Linked DNA regions of Oryzias latipes. Each later gene encodes a partner of the first gene's protein in a complex. Links are inferred from orthologs where the notes say so. Each region holds a gene or a part of one and is shown in the gene's direction. Other genes may lie near its edges.

The links. Proteins that work in one complex are often made in the same cells at the same time.
Region 2: ints7 (region 1) and ints12 share a complex: the UniProt entries of both Homo sapiens proteins name them as parts of the integrator complex. The link is inferred for Oryzias latipes from reciprocal best matches to the Homo sapiens genes INTS7 and INTS12.

Annotation. Positions count from the first base shown.
Region 1 is NC_019882.2:6,285,149-6,295,083, forward strand, and holds ints7 (integrator complex subunit 7), read left to right. Parts: upstream 1-1,520; 5' UTR 1,521-1,828; coding exon 1,829-1,922; intron 1,923-2,096; coding exon 2,097-2,226; intron 2,227-2,568; coding exon 2,569-2,715; intron 2,716-2,837; coding exon 2,838-2,975; intron 2,976-3,061; coding exon 3,062-3,108; intron 3,109-3,221; coding exon 3,222-3,421; intron 3,422-3,527; coding exon 3,528-3,650; intron 3,651-3,726; coding exon 3,727-3,844; intron 3,845-3,928; coding exon 3,929-4,063; intron 4,064-4,164; coding exon 4,165-4,262; intron 4,263-4,562; coding exon 4,563-4,802; intron 4,803-5,370; coding exon 5,371-5,508; intron 5,509-5,583; coding exon 5,584-5,790; intron 5,791-5,969; coding exon 5,970-6,164; intron 6,165-6,463; coding exon 6,464-6,567; intron 6,568-6,658; coding exon 6,659-6,727; intron 6,728-6,957; coding exon 6,958-7,090; intron 7,091-7,644; coding exon 7,645-7,743; intron 7,744-8,121; coding exon 8,122-8,307; intron 8,308-8,421; and 3 more. Other genes in the region: dtl (denticleless protein homolog), read right to left, coding at 33-125, 208-345, 1,260-1,311. UniProt on the Homo sapiens protein: Component of the integrator complex, a multiprotein complex that terminates RNA polymerase II (Pol II) transcription in the promoter-proximal region of genes.
Region 2 is NC_019859.2:15,815,687-15,827,316, reverse strand, and holds ints12 (integrator complex subunit 12), read left to right. Parts: upstream 1-4,773; coding exon 4,774-4,776; exon of another isoform or gene 4,777-4,783; intron 4,784-4,884; exon of another isoform or gene 4,885-5,040; intron 5,041-5,146; exon of another isoform or gene 5,147-5,265; intron 5,266-5,920; coding exon 5,921-6,079; intron 6,080-6,176; coding exon 6,177-6,329; intron 6,330-6,941; coding exon 6,942-7,123; intron 7,124-7,286; coding exon 7,287-7,446; intron 7,447-7,561; coding exon 7,562-7,705; intron 7,706-9,685; coding exon 9,686-10,240; 3' UTR 10,241-10,448; downstream 10,449-11,630. Other genes in the region: gstcd (glutathione S-transferase C-terminal domain-containing protein), read right to left, coding at 2,072-2,524, 4,368-4,775. UniProt on the Homo sapiens protein: Component of the integrator complex, a multiprotein complex that terminates RNA polymerase II (Pol II) transcription in the promoter-proximal region of genes.

The DNA of each region.
Region 1 (9,935 bases):
CATTCTGGGGGAAAAAACGCCTCTTCAAATACCTTTGAGAAGAGGATTTCCACGGCTCTCTGTGTTGTAGATCCGAACGATGCCTTCTTCATTAGCTGCTGCCAAAATGTTCTGCATATCCCTAGCTGAAAAAAAAAAAAAAGAAAGCACTGCAGTTACTCAGTAAAAACGACCGCAACACAGCGCTGACAAATGCAAGTGGATTACCTGAGGAGAAAGCCAATCCAAACGGTGGCACTGTGTCCCCCGTATTCCCATAGGAGATGTGCTCATCGTGTCGGACGCACCGGTAACTGCCGAGCAGAGAGATCAGAGGAATGCGGGGGACGAGATCTGCAGACAGAGCTGGGAGGACAAACACACAAGTCAGTTAAACGGGGGGAAAAAACAACACATTTTTTTTGTGCATACATATTGTGTTTTACTGCCATCCTGTGATTTCTGCGTTGTATAATACTTCCTTCATTTGCACTCAATAAAGATCACTTTAAATAACAATAATCAGGTGCAAGGAAAAAAATGTTCTTTATCTACAGTCATCACAAAATAGTGCAAATAAAAAGTTAAAATAACTTTTTTTTGTCAGATAATTCCAAATAATTCAACTGAATTCATGATACTAATTTACATAGATTTAAAACATGTATTTTCTGGTATTTCAATGTTTAAAAATAAATATATTTTTCGTGATTAGAAGCAAATAAAATGTAATACATTGTTGTGTTGTGGTGGTTGTTTCCTATCTTCCAGAAATAGTTTTAGGTTTGTAGAATAATTGGTACAATTGCAAAAAAGTAAACAGAATATGGTGGAATATTGAAGTTAGTATTGTTTTTTAATTATAAATCTAAAATAAAGTACAGAAAGACTATACTTGGGCGTACAATTACCCCACAAAAATGAGAATGTAACTGAGTGAATGTAAATGAGTAGTTCCCATTTCTGCAAACAAACAGACAAATTCCATCAGACTAATAATATTAAATAAATATGACCTCACTGACCTCACTCATCAGACATGATTTGTGAAGAGCGACGCGTTTTGTTAGTTGGAGAAAATGTCTGAGCGCGAAAAAATGCATCAAAACCTCTAGTTTAAGAAGTAAATCTACTGATTGCTGGTATTTTGTGCTAACTGAAATGACTGGACACATTTACAAGCAAGGCTACGTCCGCCTCCAGCAAAACGTAGCAAAACACTGCTAACTTTTAACACACACCGTTCGAAAAAACTAAACCAAACTACGAGATGGTCTCACCAGTCTGCCTCCGTCTGCCCACTCCTCTAGCGACTACGGATCGGAAAAGCATCCTAATACAACAACAAAGGACAATCCCAGATGGCTGTTAAAACGCCTGTGAAGTTTGTTGGATCGTTATGGGAAGGTCTTCTTGTCCGTGTTGCTGCAGACTGTTTCCCGCGAAGTGATCGCCCTCAGAGACAAACCGAATTCCGCGCGAGTTTTGCGTCGCAGGCTGCCATTGGTTCAATCGGGGTCCAAGTCGGAGCACTTCCGCTTCTGTTGACTTTGTGCTACATCTCCTCTTTCCGCTTTTTCAATCAAAGAAACGATTAAGTAAACAGCTAGTTTCAAGTATTTTATATCAACTTTTGTTTCTGCATTCATGCAAACGTTTTATTTCTAGACATCAGACCTTGATTTATCCCCAAAATATAGAAAATAGGATTTATTACCCCGGCCCTAATGTTGTTGTTGTTGTTCTGACCGGACGGAATTAATTGTGACAGACTGTCGCTAGTACTAAACTGTGCACTGAAATTCTTATGCTTATTGGGTAATATTAAATTTTTTTTAGCGAACATAAAATGTCGCTGTCGTCAGCGCGTTCTTTCTTATCAGAGGCTTGTTATGGAGAACAAGAACTGGACGCTAATTCTGCTCTCATGGAGCTGGACAAAGGTGTGCTAGCTTCTTTGCTATGCGTTATCATACATTGCATCCCAATATACCGTGAAGTTTTTTTTTTTTTTTTTTTTTTTTTTTTTTTTTTTTACAATGGACTTTACTATAATTGTTTTTGTTTTAAATATTGCTGTGTAAATTCAGTTTGTTTTGTGTTAAATCCGCGTTCAGGACTGCGGTCGGGGAAACTCGGAGAGCAGTGCGAGGCTGTGGTGTTGTTCCCAAAACTCTTCCAGAAGTACCCCTTCCCCATCCTCATCAACTCAGCCTTTCTAAAACTAGCAGATATCTTCAGACTTGGGTAGGACCGTTTCATTTGTTTATTTTAAACACCCGATATTTCACATAGGATCGTTACAAGACCACTTGATTGTTTGTTGTTTAAATAAAGATGCATGAATTTAATCTCTAATGAAAAGGCAACTTTGACTTTTATGGTTTAGCTTGAGCTCATAGATTCTTAATGTTTTGGGGTTGCTCATAAGCAAGTTTAGTTTATCAGATTTAAAAAGAAGTTTGGTGGTATTTGTTGCCCTGGTAACGCATTCTGTGTACCCAAATTAGCTCTAAAGACTAAATGGAATATTTCAGTGAACTTTACTTTGCCACAAGCCTGTTTGTTCATGGAAACGTCTGTTTACAGCAACAACTTCCTCCGTCTGTGTGTGCTGAAAGTAACGCAACAAAGTGAGAAACATTTGGAAAAAATTCTCAACGTGGACGAGTTTGTGAAAAGGGTGTTTTCAGTCATCCACAGCAATGACCCTGTGGCCAGAGCCATTACATTAAGGTACAGCACAACAAGGGGGAGATGTGTTACAGAATGCACTTAAAAATTCAAATGGAAAAAATGTTGAATTTGTATTTTATTTGACTAAATTGCTAAGTTTCCCCTGGTTCTGGTCTGTTCAGGATGCTCGGTAGTTTGGCCTCGATCATCCCAGAGAGGAAAAATGCCCACCACAGTATTCGGCAAAGTCTGGATTCCCATGATAATGTGGAAGTGGAAGCTGCCATCTTCGCTGCTGCAAGCTTTTCTGCACAGTCAAAGTAAGGAAAGTCATGAGTGATACATCCATTGTAGTTCATTAGGATTTTTTTTTAATTACATGTTATTTATAATTTTTCCTTTTTAGAGACTTTGCAGCTGGAATTTGCAATAAAGTCAGTGAAATGATTCAAGGTAAATTGATTATGTGTTGAAAATAAAGCATTTGTGAAAGAATACATTTTTCCAAAGGTATTAAATAATTTCTAGATAGTCTTTTTAAGCTTTTATTTTTATTTCCTTCTCAGGTTTAGACACTCCAGTGGACCTGAAGCTAAAGCTGATTCCCATGCTGCAACACATGCATCATGATGCCAATCTGGCTTCCAGCAGCAGGGAGCTTCTGCAGCACTTGGTCAGTTCCTACCCTTCCACCCCTATGGTCATCGTCTCATTGCACACCTTTACCCAACTGGCTGCTTCCTCCCTCATTGATATTCCTAAGCAGGTAACCTCATGTCACAATCTTAGTGACTTGTATCTGATCTCTAATAAGGTTTTTAATGTGCTGGTACACTAAAAAGATGATATTTGGAACAAATTCTTTCCTGCAGTTGCAGCTTCTGCTTCAGTACCTTAGAGATGATCCAAGGAAAGCTGTGAAGATGCTCACAATTAATGATTTAAAACTTCTGGCTAAAAAGGCCCCTCATCTGTGGATCAGAGAAAACACTCAGGTAAGGGGGACAATGGTTATTTTCACGTTAGTTAAACGTTTTTATGTAATCCAACTGGTTTTATATATTTTTGCAGACTCTGTGCGAGTGTGCTTTGGCCATTCCCTACAATAGTTTGAAGCTGGGCATGTTGGCTGTCCTCTCTACCTTATCTGGAACAATTGCAATCAAGCAGTATTTTAGTAATCCAGCAGGTGACAAGTTTACTCCAAAAAATCTTGTTTTTTTACTAATATTTTCTAGCATCAATCTAAAAACTGAATCTGTTCAACTTTCAGGCAGCTCCATGGTCTCCCCCCAGCTTACTGACCTGGTTAAACTTGCTCAAGAATGCTGTTACCATAGCAACCTGGCAGTGGCTGCTCAAGGGGTCGCCGTGCTCTCCAACATTGTTATTTCTTGTCCAGAAAAAGGTGAGCTTCTGCGGTGGTGGCCTATATTCCAGTCTTTTTTGTTTTTAATCTAGTGTTTGAGCTTTAATTTTATTGTCCATTTCCTATTTCCTTCCCCTCAGATATAATTCAGTTGGAGCAGGAAACAGTTTTGGGAGTTGAGTCCCTTCTGATGCTGTGTAGTCAGGATAGCAGCCCTGGTTCACAAGCCACACTCAAAGTAAGACACAACTATTTCCCAAAGGCTAAGGTATTAAATGCAAATGTGACCCACATTTTCAACGTCTGCACAAAATTGGACCAAAATTCAAGCGATTTTTGCTCGAATTTTGCTGCTCCCCCTACAGCATATACTCACAGCGCCATTGTGAGGAATGGAAAGATTGAGTGTTTCATCTTTAAGTAAACGAATGAAGAAATCACAACTTTGGACCTAGCAACATTTAAAAAAAGCTTATTCATTTCAAAAATATTCAGTAAATCTGTATTTTATTGTCGTCTTCTTTCTGAACCACCACAGACTGGCCTCACCTCACTGGTCAAGTTGCTCAAAGGTCGACCGCATCTCAGCCAGGCAGCTGTGGATTTCCTGCTGGGCCAGCTCCACTTATCCTGTGACTCGTCCCGCACTCTCATTTGCCACGCTCTGGCGGCCATTGCCACTCACCTGCCCGTGCTGGGGGACGGCATGCTGGGGGATCTGGTGGATCTCTACAGGGTTGTCAGTCACTCCTCCACCGGAGAACAGCAAGAGCTTCTGGTGAGAGATGGCAATCAAGTCACGCCTGATTTTCTGTTAACTTGCGTTGGATGTGGATTTGGTTCAAGATGACATTTTTTGTGGATTTTCTATTTTAGGGTCACTTCATTTAATTGTTCCTTAACTATGGCCAGCAGCAGTCCTGGACTGCGAGGAATAGATTGTTTTTGCAATTCTCTTTTCTTACTGCATCTGGTCAAAATGTATTTTGGGCATAGAAAGTGGAAATGTGGGTGTGGTTAACAAAAAACCTTTGTAGCTAAGGAAATCCAAAAATTACATAGACCTGTTCGTCAACCCCATGTGACCAAAATAATGAATAGTTGCTATAGAGATGAAATCAATAAAAATATTTTGGGGAAAAAATCATTTTTTAATGAATTTGTCATGTGCAGTTTTGAACAGAGGGGCAGAGTGAAGGGGTTTAGCAGCCACTCAGCCATTGAGGGCAGGTCAAAGGGGGCTGCAGGGGCGGGTGGCGCCTACAGACCATACAACGCCATGCGCAGCTTTGGTTTTCTTTTTTATCTGCCATTTTAAACTAATTCACATAATGTGGCTGCTACAGGTTTCCTTGGCAACAGTGATTTTTGTTGCAAGCCAGTCATCTCTTTCAGCCGAGGTGAAAACTGTCATCAAACAGCAACTGGAGAGCGTTGCTAACGGGTGGACGGTGTATCGCATCGCACGCCAGGCTTCACGGATGGTGAGCTTCTATCGAAGCAGCGTTTGCGTGAAGCCATGAAGCCGGAAATCAAAGCTCCTTGTGTTTGACCTTCAGGGGTGCCACGAGTTTTCCAGCGAGCTGTACCAATGTCTGCGGACGCGTGTGGCATCTGAACACTTCTACTTCTGGCTGAACAGCCTGAAGGATTTTTCCCAGGCTGAGCAGTGCCTCACTCACGTGGAGGATGGAGACTACAGCGGAGCCATGAGTGCCATCGCCGAAGCTCTTCGCTCCTACCAAAAGGGCATCGCCTCCCTCACAGTCGGTTAACTCCCAGGCATCTGCTTGTCATAAAACATTAATGTAGTCCACGCTTCCCTAGGGACTTAAGTGTTTTAGGTTTTGAAAGTCATTTGGATGTTTATGTATTTTGTTGACGCTCCTTAAGTCATAAATGAGTAATATTTGTGAGCGTTTATCTGATGCATCTGTCCCTTTAGGCTGCCAGTACCCCTCTGAGCCCGCTTACATTCCAGTGTGAGTTCATTAAGCTGCGCATCGACACTCTGCAAGCCCTGTCGCAGCTCATTTGTACATGCAACAGCCTGAAAACCAGCCCCCCTCCTGCCATCGCCACCACCATTGCGCTCTCCTCCGGCAACGAGCTGCAGCGGTGCGGCCGCATCTCTCTGCAGGTTAAAGAAATAGATTCTGTTTGGGTGAAACTTGTGGAGAAAAGAGTTGGGAAGTTCTGCTGCTAAGTGGAAATGCATTGTGGGAACAGATGTTGAGGGTTATTAACTCTGTAGTTTGACTAATGAGCCTTTTATCTTAACGTTCCTCCTGTCCGCTTTGACATGTTTTTATCTACAAAATGTGACGAAAAGGAGTTTCCTGTTAAAATGCAAATAAATTATGAAAAAATAAAAGAAATCTTGGTGCTGACAAGCAAGATTTATGAGATTATTAATGGTGCTTCTCTTCTTTTTTCCAGATGAAAGTATGCATGGAAGAGTTCAGAAGTCTCGCCGCTCGCTATTCAGATTTACACCAGTCATCTTTTGATGCTGATTACGCCACCCTTCGTAATGTGGAGTTGTATCCTTAGCATTGGACTGAAGTCTGTCTTAAAAAGGTTTTCCATTTTTGCTCTCTACTGTGATTGACTTCACCTTAACTGTTTATGCAGACAACAGCAGAGCTGCCTGCTTGTTTCACATGTAATTGAAGCTTTGATAATCGACCCACAGGTAGCTAGGTGAGATTCACTCTTATCATTTGGCCTTCAAAAGAATGCACATTTCTATACCTTAGTCTATTTAAAAAAAAAAAAATTCTATTGCATATTCGTCCCAGTGTAATTCTACTGGAAGACCTTACTCTAAATATTTAAACATATCATTATTTATGTGAGAAAGTGAACTAAGAAAACATCTGGCATGAGGATGTATGAAGTTAAGATGTCACACCGCTTCTTGTGAACTGCAGTTTTCAGGAGTACGGCACTCTGGGCTCTGTCCAGACTGAGAGTGAATATGAGCGCAGAATGATCGCAGTTTTTAATCGCGTCCTGGAGGAAGCGGAAGGCCTCACCAAGAAGCACCCTCCTGTTTCACACCTGGTACGATGTCAACTTTCTGCTAAGTTTTTCAAACTTTAATGGTTGTACTAAGAGGTGGTTTACCTGCCCCTTTGGACATAAATTCTTTCAGTTTTTCAAACTTCTGTCAGTGTTCAGAGACTTGGTCACATGTGCAGATTAATACATTTAGGAATGGTCAAGATATTTGCACCTAATTTATTACATTATTTATCATAATTTATTACATTTTGTGATAAATTTGGACTCATTTATCTTTTTTTTTTTAAATAAATTTACTTTTACATTGTTCAATTCAGTTTCATGTTTAAAAATAAACTTGACTCTACATCCTGATAAGCTTCTTTTTTTTTTTTCAAAGTTTCTGTCTGTGGTTTTAAATGATTTTTTAAAAGCTGTCCTTTAATGCAGCTGTTTTTCCAGATTAAAATATAAAGGTGATGGGACAATTGGACTAAACCTTTAATTCAAGCAGAAGTTGGAGACTCCAAACAGCCGATTGTCATGTTTCATATGATGATTTGGTTTAATTACATCAGAATCGGCCAACCTAAACGTGTTGTTTTGTTTTCCAGCACACCAGCTGCCTATGTGACACTGTCATAGCTTTGCTCAAAGTGCCGCTGTCTTTCCAGAGATATTTCTTTCAGAAGCTCCAGTCAACCAGTATCAAGGTAATTATTATTTTAATTAGAATTGTCTGTGAAACATCTTTCTGAGCTTTTTATTTGTTGTTGCCGCTGAGAGGTCATTAGAGCTTTTATCTCAGTGATTGTAAGTGGGGGGGGGGGTGTATTGACCAGCTGTTTGTGGTACGCTGGAATACTTCCTGGTCCGGCTTTCAAGGAACCACTTGTGCCGAACCACTCCATGCAAAAACGAACTGGTTATTATCTTTCCGACACAAAAAAGGGCAGAAATGGTCAAATCAGCTCAGAGAAATACATTTAATGATTTCCTAAAGACAAAAAATGCTGCAGCATGAAAGAAAAAGAATGAAACCTTTTTAGTTTGCCCCTTGAGAGGTTTTTGTGGGGTTTTTTTTTTGGCAGTTGGCGCTCTCTCCATCGCCGCGCACGCCGAGCGAGCCCATCCCTGTTCAGAGCAGTCAGCAGCTCACGCTCAAGGTGGAAGGAGTCGTACAGCACGGTTCGACTCCAGGACTCTTTAGGAAAATCCAGTCTGTCTGTCTCAATGTCACATCCGTTCTCCAGAGCAAGACCGGACCTGACTACAAAGTAAGTTCTTTGAGCCAAAATCAACTCTACCGATGTAAAAGTGATTTAGAAAGCTGGTGTTTCTATCATCTGTTTTTCACAAACGGTTGCATATTCCGGGTTTTTATCTTTCAGATTGCGCTGGATGCTAAAACAAATGAGATCGAGCAGCGTGTAGAACCTCACAATGACTACTTCAGCACCCAGTTTTTGCTGAACTTCTCCATCCTCGGCACCCACTCAGTCACCGTGGAGGCATCTGTGGTGGATGAGAGTGGCATTCAGTGGAAGACTGGGCCCAAGACGACAGTATCTGTCAAGTCTCTGGAGGATCCTTATTCCCAGCAGCTTCGCCACCAGCTGCAGCAGGGCGGAGCTCAGCCGGCAGCACAAAGGAGTGCATACATTCGCTTCTAGTGACTTTTTTTTCAAGTACTTTACAATGTGAGCTTGTGTAGTTGACCTTTTCTACATCATAGAAACTAAGCATGTACAGAAAAAAAAATTCAGATAATAAAAGACCATAAATTCTTTTTGGTGTTTTTATTTGAAGTGTTCATGTGGTTAGACATTTTGATGGCATTTAAATTTCTTGTGCTTAGATTACCCAATTCTACTTTTTTTTTTTATTTGAAAAAGATTTTAAGACACTTGAGTATATTACCTTTTAAGTGGCATTTCATGCGCTCACAAAATGAAGAGAGAATAAAAAGACAACTTTTAAAAACTTTTGGCTTGATAATTGCTTTCAATAACATAGTTGGACACCAGGGGGCAGCACCAAACAAACCATCGCTTTCAATTATAATCTTTTAATTGAACAATTTTTCTGTTTTGCTATCGACGCTTTTTTTAAAGATATTTTCTAAAGAGTTCAAAGTATTTATAGTACTAAATTCCTAAGTTTAACCGTTTTTCAGTAGGAATGAGGCAATATTGTTTTCATTAAACTAACATGTATCTTTGTGTTTACATCTCGTACTTTGCTGTCACATTTAAAAGAGTTAGACATTATTTTTTTAGATACTTTATAAGTTAAACTATAGAAAGAAAAGTCACATTTCTTCCATAATTTTTCGGAATTCTGCGTTTAGATAACAGTATGAGTCATTAATAAACTCGTCTTGCATTTTTTTTAACTTTTACTCGGAAATATGACCGATGTCAAAGTTTATAATACCTATGAAAATTATATTTGAAAGAAAGATTGGGGAAGGCGAAGAGGGCGAGTCATTGTAGATGACGCTACTAAATAGTGCCACCGCGCCTGCTTTTATTTTGAAGGCGTGTCGCACTCATTTCCGTTTTTGGCGTTTTGATCCTTTGTGTGCACTGCCGCGGTATGAATCGGAGATCTGGTAAGAGATAACGGGTCCTGGCAGCCCAGGGAATAAATCTCGTTGTCCCTCGTATTTGATGCGCACATGAAGGTGTTGCGGTGCGCCTGTCTAACGAGCGGCGTTGAGCCCGGGCCCGCATTCACCAGGCTCTGCCGCACTCTTTGATGTGTGAGCTCGGTGGCTAGCGGAGTTGACGGTGATGCTGCTGCATCAGAGGATTTATCCCGGCGCCTATGACTGTGAGATGGAGCTAACGGCGTTCAAATGGAGCTGCCCCCTCGACAGTTAGCGAGCTAACCCTGCTCGTAC
Region 2 (11,630 bases), on another chromosome or scaffold:
CAGCACAGGCAAGATGAAAACATGGAGGTGCAAATGGTTTTCCAAAGAAATGTAAAAGGAAATACTTTTACTGCTAATTATCCAGTAAAATCAAAAACACAAACAGAACATTTGCTCCTGTGACATTCTTGTGCTTAATGTTCAGTTTTCAGATTTGAAAGGGAAAAAAAGCTTCTTTTTTTCCATCTAAATATTGAAAAATACTCATATTTTTTTTGTTTGTTAAATAAAACTTTAAGGCATTTTTAATAATACGGGGTTCACAAAAGGGAAGAATTTGAGATGTGTTAAGAAAAAACATGCTATATAGATCATTTTGAGGCACAAACAGATAGTTAATCATAGGAATAACATGCTTGTTAAGTAGGAACCTATTCAAAGTACAAACTAAATGAAAATAAAAGGCAGTTTCAATTTTTTTTTTTGCAGGTTAGAGTTTATTAACAATAAAATAGAAAAGTGAAATCTTAGAAAAATGGACGGAGAAACTGGTTAAATTTGGGAATAGAGTAAACCCTGCACACCCAAGTGGTGATTTAAGGGCAGCTGCCAAAAGGACACAACTATGAACGCACAAAGCTGCAAGACTCATTTTTGCTGAAACTTTCACAGCTAAGGCACAGTCTTTTAGCAGTAATGCTCCCTAAAAAGACTGAACCAAAAACCCAAGCTTTTAGGGAATGCATGTAATCTTCTAAGAAAGCAACAATGCAAAAATCTGGATTTAACCAAGCAATGCAGTTTGAAGTTTATCATGGCATGCCAGAAAAACAGGTATGAATGAAACATTTGTTAGCTTACCAGAACAAAAGTGTGGAATAAAAACGGGGAAAAAATGAATAAAGAACTCTAGATAAAATGTACTAATCTAAGTCTTGCTAAAAGCTCTAAATGTGAAGGAAGCACCAAAAGGCTGCAGGACGTATACGTCTAACTGTTATAGGGATAATCATCACTACAGTAATGTTTTAATTTACTGCTGCAGAAATTATAATCCATACCATTCATACATAGTGGTAAGTTTTTTTTTGTTTAGTTTTGAATAACAATGTTGGTCAAAATACCACAATCAAATATTTTGGCTCCAGCGAGACCCATTCCTTTTGTGGGGTATTAGAAACACCTGGAGGTGCTTTAGGGCAAACATGTTCAGTTACTGACAGACTCATGGGAATGCCTGAGAGGAGAGTATTTTTACAAATCAACAAGTATTTTATATCTGTAGACATTCCATTAAACTTCTATAACTCTTTAAAATTGCTCAATCTTTTTCTTTCTCCAAAGAGCTAATTAAGTATTTTGTTAAATTGTTTTTTTCAAGCTTCAACCACTGCTGCTCCTTTTGAAAGCACTTTAATGCTGTTAAATTAGTTCCTACTGTCAAATGAGCGGCACTCATTTTTAGTATTCGCACTCGAATCTGATTCAACTTTAGGTCAATAAAAAAAACCAAAGTGTTTCGATTCTGCAAAAAAAAAAAAAAAAAAAAGTTCCCAAATGAAATGCATTTTAACCTCCCTAATGTGCGACCCTTTCGCACGCTGTTATCAGGCTCTGCCAGATGGCTCCGGACCACCTGTGAGAGCAAACAGGTGCCAAGTCCTCTTTACTCAAGTTTCTGCTTGAATGCACCTGACAGGAGTCTGCTCACCCTGACCGGAGTGCTAAAACCATACGTCATGCATAATTTGACAAGTTATCACAATAAAAGTCTCAGCAAGCCAGTTAAAACTTGCAACTTCACTTTTCAAACAGAGAGGTGCATAATGGGAAGTAAGGCCCTGCAAGGGTTCACGTAGGGAGACCAAATATGAATAATGACCCTCACCAACGGCTCGGGACGAAATAATGTCCTCAAAGGTTTTTGAAGAAAAACGTGTCAAGTCTAGCGAAGGTTTAAGGTTTATGCAGTAATAACAAAATGAAATGATCATTTAGAGTGTCTTTATGGATCATAAAGCAGAGGAATCCTTGAAAAATGGAAAGACTGGCGTCCTTAAGCATGAGGGCTCACTTATCACGGCACTCTGAATAAGTCACACTGCTCAATGATCCGGTGCAAATCCCTTACCAGATACTGATGAATACATGGCAAGAGCACCACATCAGTCAGAGTGAAATACAGCCCTTCAGCGAACACGTGCTCCAGTGGCGGCAGCTCGCTGGTCTTCACTTTCCTGATCTCAGAGTTCTCCCTGGTGGTTACCGCCGGTACTGACACCACAGAGAGCTTAGCCAAAGCTGCCCTCAGCTCCAGCTCGTCAGAAACCTGTGGCGGACGTCCTGGAGACGGCTCCTTGTTCGCCTGGCCTCCAACAGGCTCCAGCTTCTCCCTGCGTTTCTGCTCTTGGAGCTTCTGCCTCCGGATTTTGTCGTCGTTGTGGACTTTGACGGGTTCTGCTAGCCGGCTCTCCAGGGTGAGAACAGGGAGAGGCAGCTGCTTCCCCACATCTCCTGGGTTATGGAGGTGTTCCTCCACAGCAGAAGGAATGCCTATTTCACACAGTCTGGTCCACTTGCTCACCTGCAGGGGGAAAGAGATACAGAACTTTACTCAACACCTATATGACGCTTTGGACAGTTTTGGCCGATTTCAAAATAAAATTCCCTGAGAAAAAATGATCAAAAGAGCTTTTAACAGCTCTTTAAAAAAATGCTTGTGACCGAAGCTTAAAGTATAATTTCAACAAAATGTTACTTTTTTGTAGTGTATCATATGACAGCAAGATGGCAACTAAATATACAGTCAGGACCATAAATATTTGGACAGAGACACATTCTTTCTAATTTTGTTTCTCTACATTACCACAGTGAATTTTAAATATAACAGCTCAGATGCCATTGAAGTGCAGACTTTCAGCTTTTATTCCATGGGTTGAACAAAAAGATTGCATAAAAATGTGAAAAACTAAAGCATTTTTTAAAGGCAATCCCTTCATTTCATGGGCTCCTGGACAAATGAAATAACTGAAAACAAAATGGTCATTACTAATATTTGGTTGGAAACTCTTTGTTGGCTATGACAGCCTGAAGTCTTGAACTCATGGACATCACCAGATGCTGGGTTTTCTGCTTCTGAATGCTCTGCCAGGCCTTTACTGCAGTGGCTTTCTGTTGCTGTTTCTTTGTGGGCCTTTCTGTCTGAAGTTTAGTCTGCAACAAGTGAAATGCATGCCGAGCAAAGACCTATCTAGCCTTCTTCCTATTCTTAAGGCTTATGACTTGTATCTTGCAGTGTACCCTCTGGATCTACTTTCATACATTCTTCTTTTTATGGCAGACTTGGATATTGATACGCCTACCTCCTGGAGAGTGTTGTTCACTTGGTTGGCAGTTGTGAACAGGTTCCTCTTCACCATGGAAATGATTTTGCCATCATCCACCACTGTTGTCTTCCGTGGACGTCCAGGTCTTTTTGCGTTGCTGAGTTCACCAGTGCTTTCTTTCTTTCTCAGGATGTACCACACTGTTGATTTTGCCACTCCTAATACTGTAGCAATTTCTGGCATGGTTTTTTTCTGTTTTCTCAGCTTAATGATGGCTCCTTTCACCTGCATGGAGAGCTCCTTTGACTGCATGTTGTCTGTTCACAGCAAAATCTTCCAAATGCAAGCACGAGTCCTCTAATCAACTCCAGGCAGAAACAAAATTAGAAAGAATGTGTCTCTGTCCAAATATTTATGGTCCTGACTGTATATGTAGATGCAGTTTGGTCTGGGTCATCTTGTACTGCTAGCAACAAATCCTGCCTTTAGGTGTTCAATGATGGAGTCAATTTGACAAGACTGTAGGTATCTTTTTTTACTGCCATCACATGTGTGTTGCCCACTGTAATGGCACTCTGTCAGTTTTTATGTTATAGTAAAATACACCCACAAGGCCTCAATCCAAATGGGACTTTCCAATATTGATAATAATCAATTTATTTCATTTTGAAATGATTTCATAGGTCGATTCAATTAACAGCTTGCGTCAGAAAGATCTGGTTGGATCATAGGAATAAAATTCGATTTTAGTCAATTAATCATTACATCCATAATTTGTTGGCAAGGTGCACCACCTGTCACCGGGGGGAAATGTCTGATAATTAATGTTGCTGTTTTTCTGTAACATATGGCAACATTGACCTGAAACTGTAAGATGATACTTGGTGTTGTGTTGGGGGGGTGTCATTTTTGTGGCATCTTTTTGCCTACAAACACAACAGCTGTTCCTTTCATGTAAAACTGCATAACTTTGATGCCCTTTAATGCAAAGCATCACGGTCTTTTCATATTTTCAAAACACACATAAAGACTTTTTGTGTTTTTCCATCCTGACAACCAAAACAAACCTACAGAGACGTGATAGAGTGTAATTGCACCAACCTCTGCACAGGCTTTTAAGCAGGTCTTTTTGAAGCCCAGCAGAGCTGCTACATCCTTCCTGGAAGGGTCAGCCTCGATGCTCTTGTCGATGATGTGTCTGAGGACCACCGCCAGTCCGGCCCTGCAGATCTGCGCGCTCTCATCCAGAGCAGCGGGGAGGCGGCAGCTGCTCACCAGTTTGGGCAGCTCGTCCACCTGGACGTCTGAGAGACTTGCAGATGCTGGAAGCTGGCTCTTCAGAGGCTCGGAGCTGCTGCTGTCGCCAAGGACGAGAAACACTCTGAAAGACTCGCAGTCGCAGTAAGACAGCAGAAACAGAACTATAGAAGAGTGCAGGGGAAGACGCAGCTGCTCGTTTTGGCTGCAAACTTCTAAGTAGAGGCACGGGGGTTGTTCGGCGTGTGTCATGGTAAATGCTGTGAATGGGAGAAATATGTTTAAGTATTTTTTATTATCACTATTTGTCTTTTCAACTGCTAATAATGCCATAAAACAGTCAGAAAGAAGTCATACAGACCGGCTACTTTACAAACATCACGTTATCAGCGTGCTGCTTTTTCTTCTTCTACTACGAGTTATTGAGTCGAGTATTGCCACAGCGCCACCAGCTGGTCGTTAAAATATATACATTTTAAATGCATTTATTGATAGAAAGTCGGTTAGAATAAAACTTATTTAAAAATACGAGTGAAAAAACAAAAAACAAATTCGCTTTGCTATTACGTGAAGTATATTTTTTGTTCTACTTGCGCCGCCCACTTAGATTCCGGACACATTTATCGGGTGCACATTGTGAAAGACATAAAACGTCAGCGGCGATTTCCTCTTTGTGGAAAGAGTTCTATTAAACAGAAATATCTACAGCAGAGACCAACATTTTGCAGAAACTGAGTGTGAGGTAGGATTACCCATTTAAAGCTATAGACTGGGGATTTTGACGTGTTGGTGACATTTGGGAAGATAACTTTACCTACGGTGTCGCAGTGATATTGTTCCGTCCATCTGCTACCAACGATTACTTTAAACCCTACCAACTGGATTTGAGCATTGTGGGTTGTTTTTAATAGACACAGGCATCATATTTCTTTATATATTTGTAGTAAATAATGCAGAGGCAGGATTTCTTGTAATAAATACCGCAAATAAGGAAAAATAGCTGGTTAGTCTTAAAAACGTTCCGTTTTTGTGTACCCATTATTAGGCAAAACTCTTAAAAATGAACATTTTTATTGGTTGCTGTATTTTTTGTTAGTTTTGACAGCCTATAGTTCATTGTAAATTGCTTTATTTGATTACAATTGTAATTAGCAAACTATAACTTTGAATAAATATGCTCATCATTGATATTCATTGTTGTAAATGCTCCCAGACGCCTATAAACATGTGTGACTGACTTAATAAATGTTTGTTTTTGTTTTTGTTTTTTATTATAGTTAGTATATTTAATTTGCAATCTAGATAAGATGAAATAGTTTTGTATTGTAGCAAAGTGTACATTTGTAATTTGCAGACGTCAATGAAAACCTAACATTATTCAATCATTTTCTAACTAGGCCATGGCTGGACCTGTCAGCTTGGAGTTGGACCCCCTTTTTTTAAAGGCTCTGGGTTATTTGCACTCCAAGAACAAAGATTCAGCAGAGAAACTCAAAGCTTTACTCGATGAGTCCCTTGCGAGAGGAGGTGACTCCTCCTACCGCTCATTACAAAAAGTAAGATCCGCTTCTTATAAAGATAGTCTTACGCTGTCAGTGATAATTCATTCGTATGGAGCTTATTGCTCCTCTTTTCTGCTGTGTTCATCTTTAGGACTTGGAAATGCCAAAAAGTTCTGTGTCCAAACTGAGCCTGACTAAGCAAGACTCAAAGTCTTTGAGCACTCCATCTTCCAGCAACAGTGGAAGTTCCAAATCCAGTTCAGAGAAGAGCAAGAAAGAAGCAGAGAAGAGGCCATCAGAGAAGGTGGGGGATTAAAAGTGTTGTCACATTATCATGTATGTTTAGATGACACCATGTGCCATGATTGGACTGTACTCATTAATTCTCTTCAGGATTTACATTGATTCCAATTAAAGCTGCAACAATTGTCAATCATTAGAATTTAGGAATAAAGCCCTGAAGAGACATAAAATATTGACAAATGCAAAAAGAAATGACAACACTCAAAAAAAAAATGTTTGGAATAAAATTTGAGACTTTTTTTTAACACCAGAAAAAGGATGCCTGATCAGGGAAAGAGAAAAAGAAAACATACATGGGTCATTATTTTAACATATCAGCAACTTAAAGGTTGTTTTTTTTTATGAATAATCGAAGTCTTGATTTATGGCTTTCCTGGGTCTTGTAATTGAATATTATTACTTTATTTTATGAACTAAATGATGCCACAGCGAGATGAACAAGTCCATTTCTAACAAACATGTACATCCTTAGTTTAAAATAATAATAATAGACATTGCTTGGGACTTTCTTCTCAATCTGTGGTTATTTTAAGCATAACAGCTTGTGTGATTGAACACCAATGTTGGTATGAATTTTCAAATTTCATACGTTCTCTGTCTCATTGACAAATAGATACGGGTGGAGTTGTCTGAAGTGGATCCTCCAAAAAAGTCCCGCTTGGAGAAACCGGACAATCGCTCGTCCCCTATAACTGTTCAGACGAGCAAGGACCTCATGCCCAACATACACGACTACGATGAAACTAATGCTGACGACTTTGCCATGGAAATGGGACTGGCTTGTGTGGTTTGCAGGTGCTTGTTAATTATCAAATGAAATGAAATGAAACTTTGAGTTTCTTTGTTATTTGCACATTTTTCTGGTTTGTGGATCCAGTTTCTCTTTCTACAACGTGCGAGTTGGTATGAAATTCTCTTCACTCAACTGTTTTTGCGTCTGCGTTTCTCTGAACTGTAGACAAATGACGGTGACCATGGGAAACCAGTTGGTGGAGTGTCAGGAGTGTCATAATCTGTACCACCAGGACTGCCACAAGCCCCAAGTGACAGACAAAGAGGTCAACGACCCCCGCCTTGTGTGGTACTGTGCTCGTTGTACCAGGCAAATGAAACGCATGGTGAGAGCTGTTCCTGTGCTCGGGTATTGACTCTTATAGTGATCAGCTGGGAGTCATGGCAACAGGACCAACAGTCTTCATTAAAGCTAATGATTTTTGTGTGTGTGTTCTCAAGGCGCAGAAACCTCCACAAAAACCGTCTCCTGCATCTGCATCATCAGTGCCTGTGGTGAAAGACACGCTGGTGAAGAAAACGGAGGGCAAGCTTAAGATTGACACAGCCAACACCTTCCAAGCCTTCAAAAGGACAGAGGTGAAGGTACGTGGTGACTTTTGTCGTCTAGACCTGTGGTCTCCAACCCCCCGGGCCGCAGACAGAAAAAAAAATGTATACACTAACTTCGATCATTTCTGTTTTGTTTATCACGATCTTTTATTATCTTTATGCAGTGCACAATGAAATTGTTTTCAGCAGCTCTTTTTCAATGAATAATTGCACATAGAAAAATAAATGTGCAGCCAGAGCGTTGTCAACAGAGTAGTGTATTTTCTGATACTAAAGAGAGTTTTATTTTGAAAAACTACCGGATTTTGTTTACCACATCCGTCCGTCTTAACGCGTCTCGTGACTTTAAGCATCTGCTCGGAACCTCGCAAGGCAAAGTTGGTTGCTCAACGCTTAAAGGCAAATCAAAACCAAACAATAAAACGTATTTGAAAAGTTTCTTTGGGGAGAGAAGAGTTAGTGTGGAAACAGAGGAAGAACATTTGACTTCAAAGGAAAATAAAGCTGCTATATGCAGACAAAATCAGGAGTCGTTCTTTAAATATGGATTTATTGAGATTCCCATGAACCAGAAGCTGCTCGCTTGTCTGATATGAAGTGACTGACATTTGAATGTTTCACTCATCCCGATAATGACGTTGCAAACGTGATGAACTCATGTTTATTATTTAGAAAATAAGTGAGTTGTGTCATTTATTTTGCTTTATTTATCCTTCTCATCTTAAAAGCCGGACGTGCCTGAAGTGAGCGTCTGGTTGTTAGCCCCCACTTTGACATTAAAGGGAAAATCTTCATCACAAAGTTTAAATTTAAACTATCCACAAACAATTTACAGGGAATGATTGTGTCAATCAAATAAAGTTTCGATTCGTGGAAACTTGTAAAGGGGACATTTTCTACAGCAAGGGAGAATTAATAAACATAAGAGCAGAGAAAATGTTTCTCTGTGTTCAAAAATACACAGTGAATCTGAATTTATGTAAAAACAAAATATGATCAGTCTTTTTGCCCTGAAAGATGATCTCAGACTGAGTTGAGTTATTTATTATAATGGTTTTCTATGTAAAAGAAGAAGAAAAAAACTATAAATTTGCTTTCATTGAATTATTTACAAATAAACAACTTTGACTCACTGAATCTTTGTCATATGTTAAAAAATAAAATTAAAAAAATCTGCTAATGGTCTCTGATTTTTTTTTTTTTTTTTTTTACAAAATTTCTTGTTATAGTATTTTATTTGAAAAAATAGGGTGTTCAGAAACCAGAAGCTTTAAAAAGATTAAACACAAACTTTGCCCGTTCGGACCGTTCCGTGAAAATATAGTCTTGACATTGAACCGGTCTGTGGCGAACCAGCATGTGGAGCTGCACAATATGGCCTTTTTCTATCCATATCTAAATGTAAAAAACTAAAAAAGTACTTGAAAATACCGTGTAAATGTTAAAATTGTAAAAAGAAATTGCAGTGAAGATTTTTCTAAAAATAACGTTTGCATTAGAAGCTTTAAACAGTTTGAACTAAAAACAACGCAGCAGGTCCACCTGAGGTGGCAAAGCACAAAAAAATCTTTAACAACAAAACATGAAATTTTCATCCTCTGGCACAAAAATGTGAATGTAGAAACATATCTCAGACATTTAAAACTGCAGCAGTCACATTAGCAGTTGTGGGGGGGGGGGGGGGAGTTGTTTGTAATACCTATGCAAAAGCATCATGTTTACTTTTTTTTTTCCATTTTCTTTTTTCACATTTCCACGGTAACAAAGTTTAGTCAATAAGAAAAACGCAATTACTCTAGCTGTACTTAAAAACCAAGGATTGGTTTAAAGCAAAGTTGTCTTTTTATTTATTTTTTAAGTTACATATTTAAGATTAATAGAAATGAGACAAGCGTGAAATTGTAAGGGGTTGCTTCTTGGTTTAAAATATTTTTGATGAAATGTGACGAATTTGTGACATCCTTTAGTTTCCTAACTTTGATTCTTTTCTCTTTTTTTTTTTTTGTCACACAGCCACCTGTCACATTGGCGAGTTCCACTATTTCAACATCCTCCTCCTCTAGCAGCGGTCTGACAGGCTGGGCTGCATTTGGCGCCAAAACAAACCCCTCTCTTCCCGCTAGCTCCAAACTAGCTTCCTCTGGCGCGAGCGGGAGCAGCAAGACCTTGACAGCTCCTAGTCAGAAACCTGTCGGGTTGTCAGGGCTCGCTGGAGCCAAGTCAGGACTTGCAGGAGGAAAAGTCGTTGGAAACAACAATGGAAATGGCTCCAGCCAGGTAACTCTCAAGCCTCCTCCACCTCTGACTTTGGGGAAGCAGCCAGTCAGTCGCTCGTCGAGCACAGAAAACCCGGGGAAAGTGTCCTCGCCATCTGGGGCAGGCTCTCCGAGCAACGCCCAAACAGGCTCCAGTGGCAGCAATAATGGAGGAGGTAATGGAAACAACGGTAATGGACATAAAGGCGCTCCAGGAGACAAAGCACCAACCTCTCAAGAATCCCAACTAAACGCCATGAAACGGCTGCAAATGGTCAAGAAGAAAGCAGCACAGAAAAAGATGAAGAAATAAGTGGATGCATAGAGAAAAGATGAAAGGAACATACAGGAAATTAGTGAATTCATTGCCAGAACTTTGCAAAAACTTGAGGAGCTGCACATGGAGCATACTTGAAGCTAACTTTGTAGAAAAATGTCACTTCATCATTAGATCTGATCCCTTAAAAATGCTCCTTTTTACCTATAATGTCATTAAATCTCCTGTTCTTATAAAATTATTGTAGCTGGTGTTTCTTGTGTGGATGCGAGTCAGTATGCCATATAAAATGAACAAAAGTACCACAACAATTTATTCATAAACATCATTTTTTATTTACAATGTCACCTTTTCAACACCAATGATAAAATTCTTCACTTTAAATGCACACAAAATAGTTTCTTAAACCTTCATAGATCGTTGACAAATATACTTCATATATCTTCTTCTATAAATCTTCTCACATATATTGTATTTACTTCATATTTAAATCACTTCATTTTTACTCTAAACAACACTGAAGAACAAAAAGTGCTCAGCAAAAGTGCTGTTTGCTTTTTAATGGAACCGCTCGCTTTTTTTTAACACGTTATTGCTCAAAGGCGTAGGCGAGCTCTTGTGGTTCATTCTCACAAAGACAAAGACTGTGATCAACCATTTCAATACAAAAACATAACTGATTGCATCTGCTTTCAAAAAGTGCTGTTTGACATCAGCAAAGAGTTAAAAAAAGAAACAGTGCTAAAAGAAAATAACATTTCACTTTCCAAACTGTTAAGACTCAGTATTTTGTCAAAATACTTTTGCATGAGGAACTCTTTTATTTAAAATATTTCCCAACTTTTTTATTATAAAAGTAAATAACATTAAGCTTTCTTCTTTTTAGTATAGAGTTTAGCACTTATTTATTTTAGTTCCGAGCTGCATTCGATTTTTTTCGAGACATTTTTTTCTTTTCATGATAACAGGCCAGTTTGGCTTCTGTAGCCTTCCGCACGCTCTAGGGCAGGCATGTCCAAAGTCCGGCACTTGTCCGGCCAAATGCGACCTGTGTTAAAATTCCACCGCCCCGCGGGCTCCTGTCATAAAATCAAAAATATGGGGCTCCCAGCCCTTTCTGAAAAACTGTGCAGACGATTTCTTGAATGTGATTACGTTATAAACCATTGTAAACCTGTGGCAAACACTATAGTGTGACACTTTCTGGCTCATTTCTAAGATGTGAACTGTAAATAAATTTTTTTTTAGAAACGTAAGCTGACAATGAGGCCCACTCCTTTCAAGTGGAAATTTTTCTGTGAAATATAACATCTGTGTCGGCCTAACATGCCAAGAGACTGGCTGTTTTTCAAGGAGTTCAATATCAAGAAGGTTTACGAGACAGAAGATGCTAACTGGTAAAGAACATTGCATGGGCTTTGAAAAT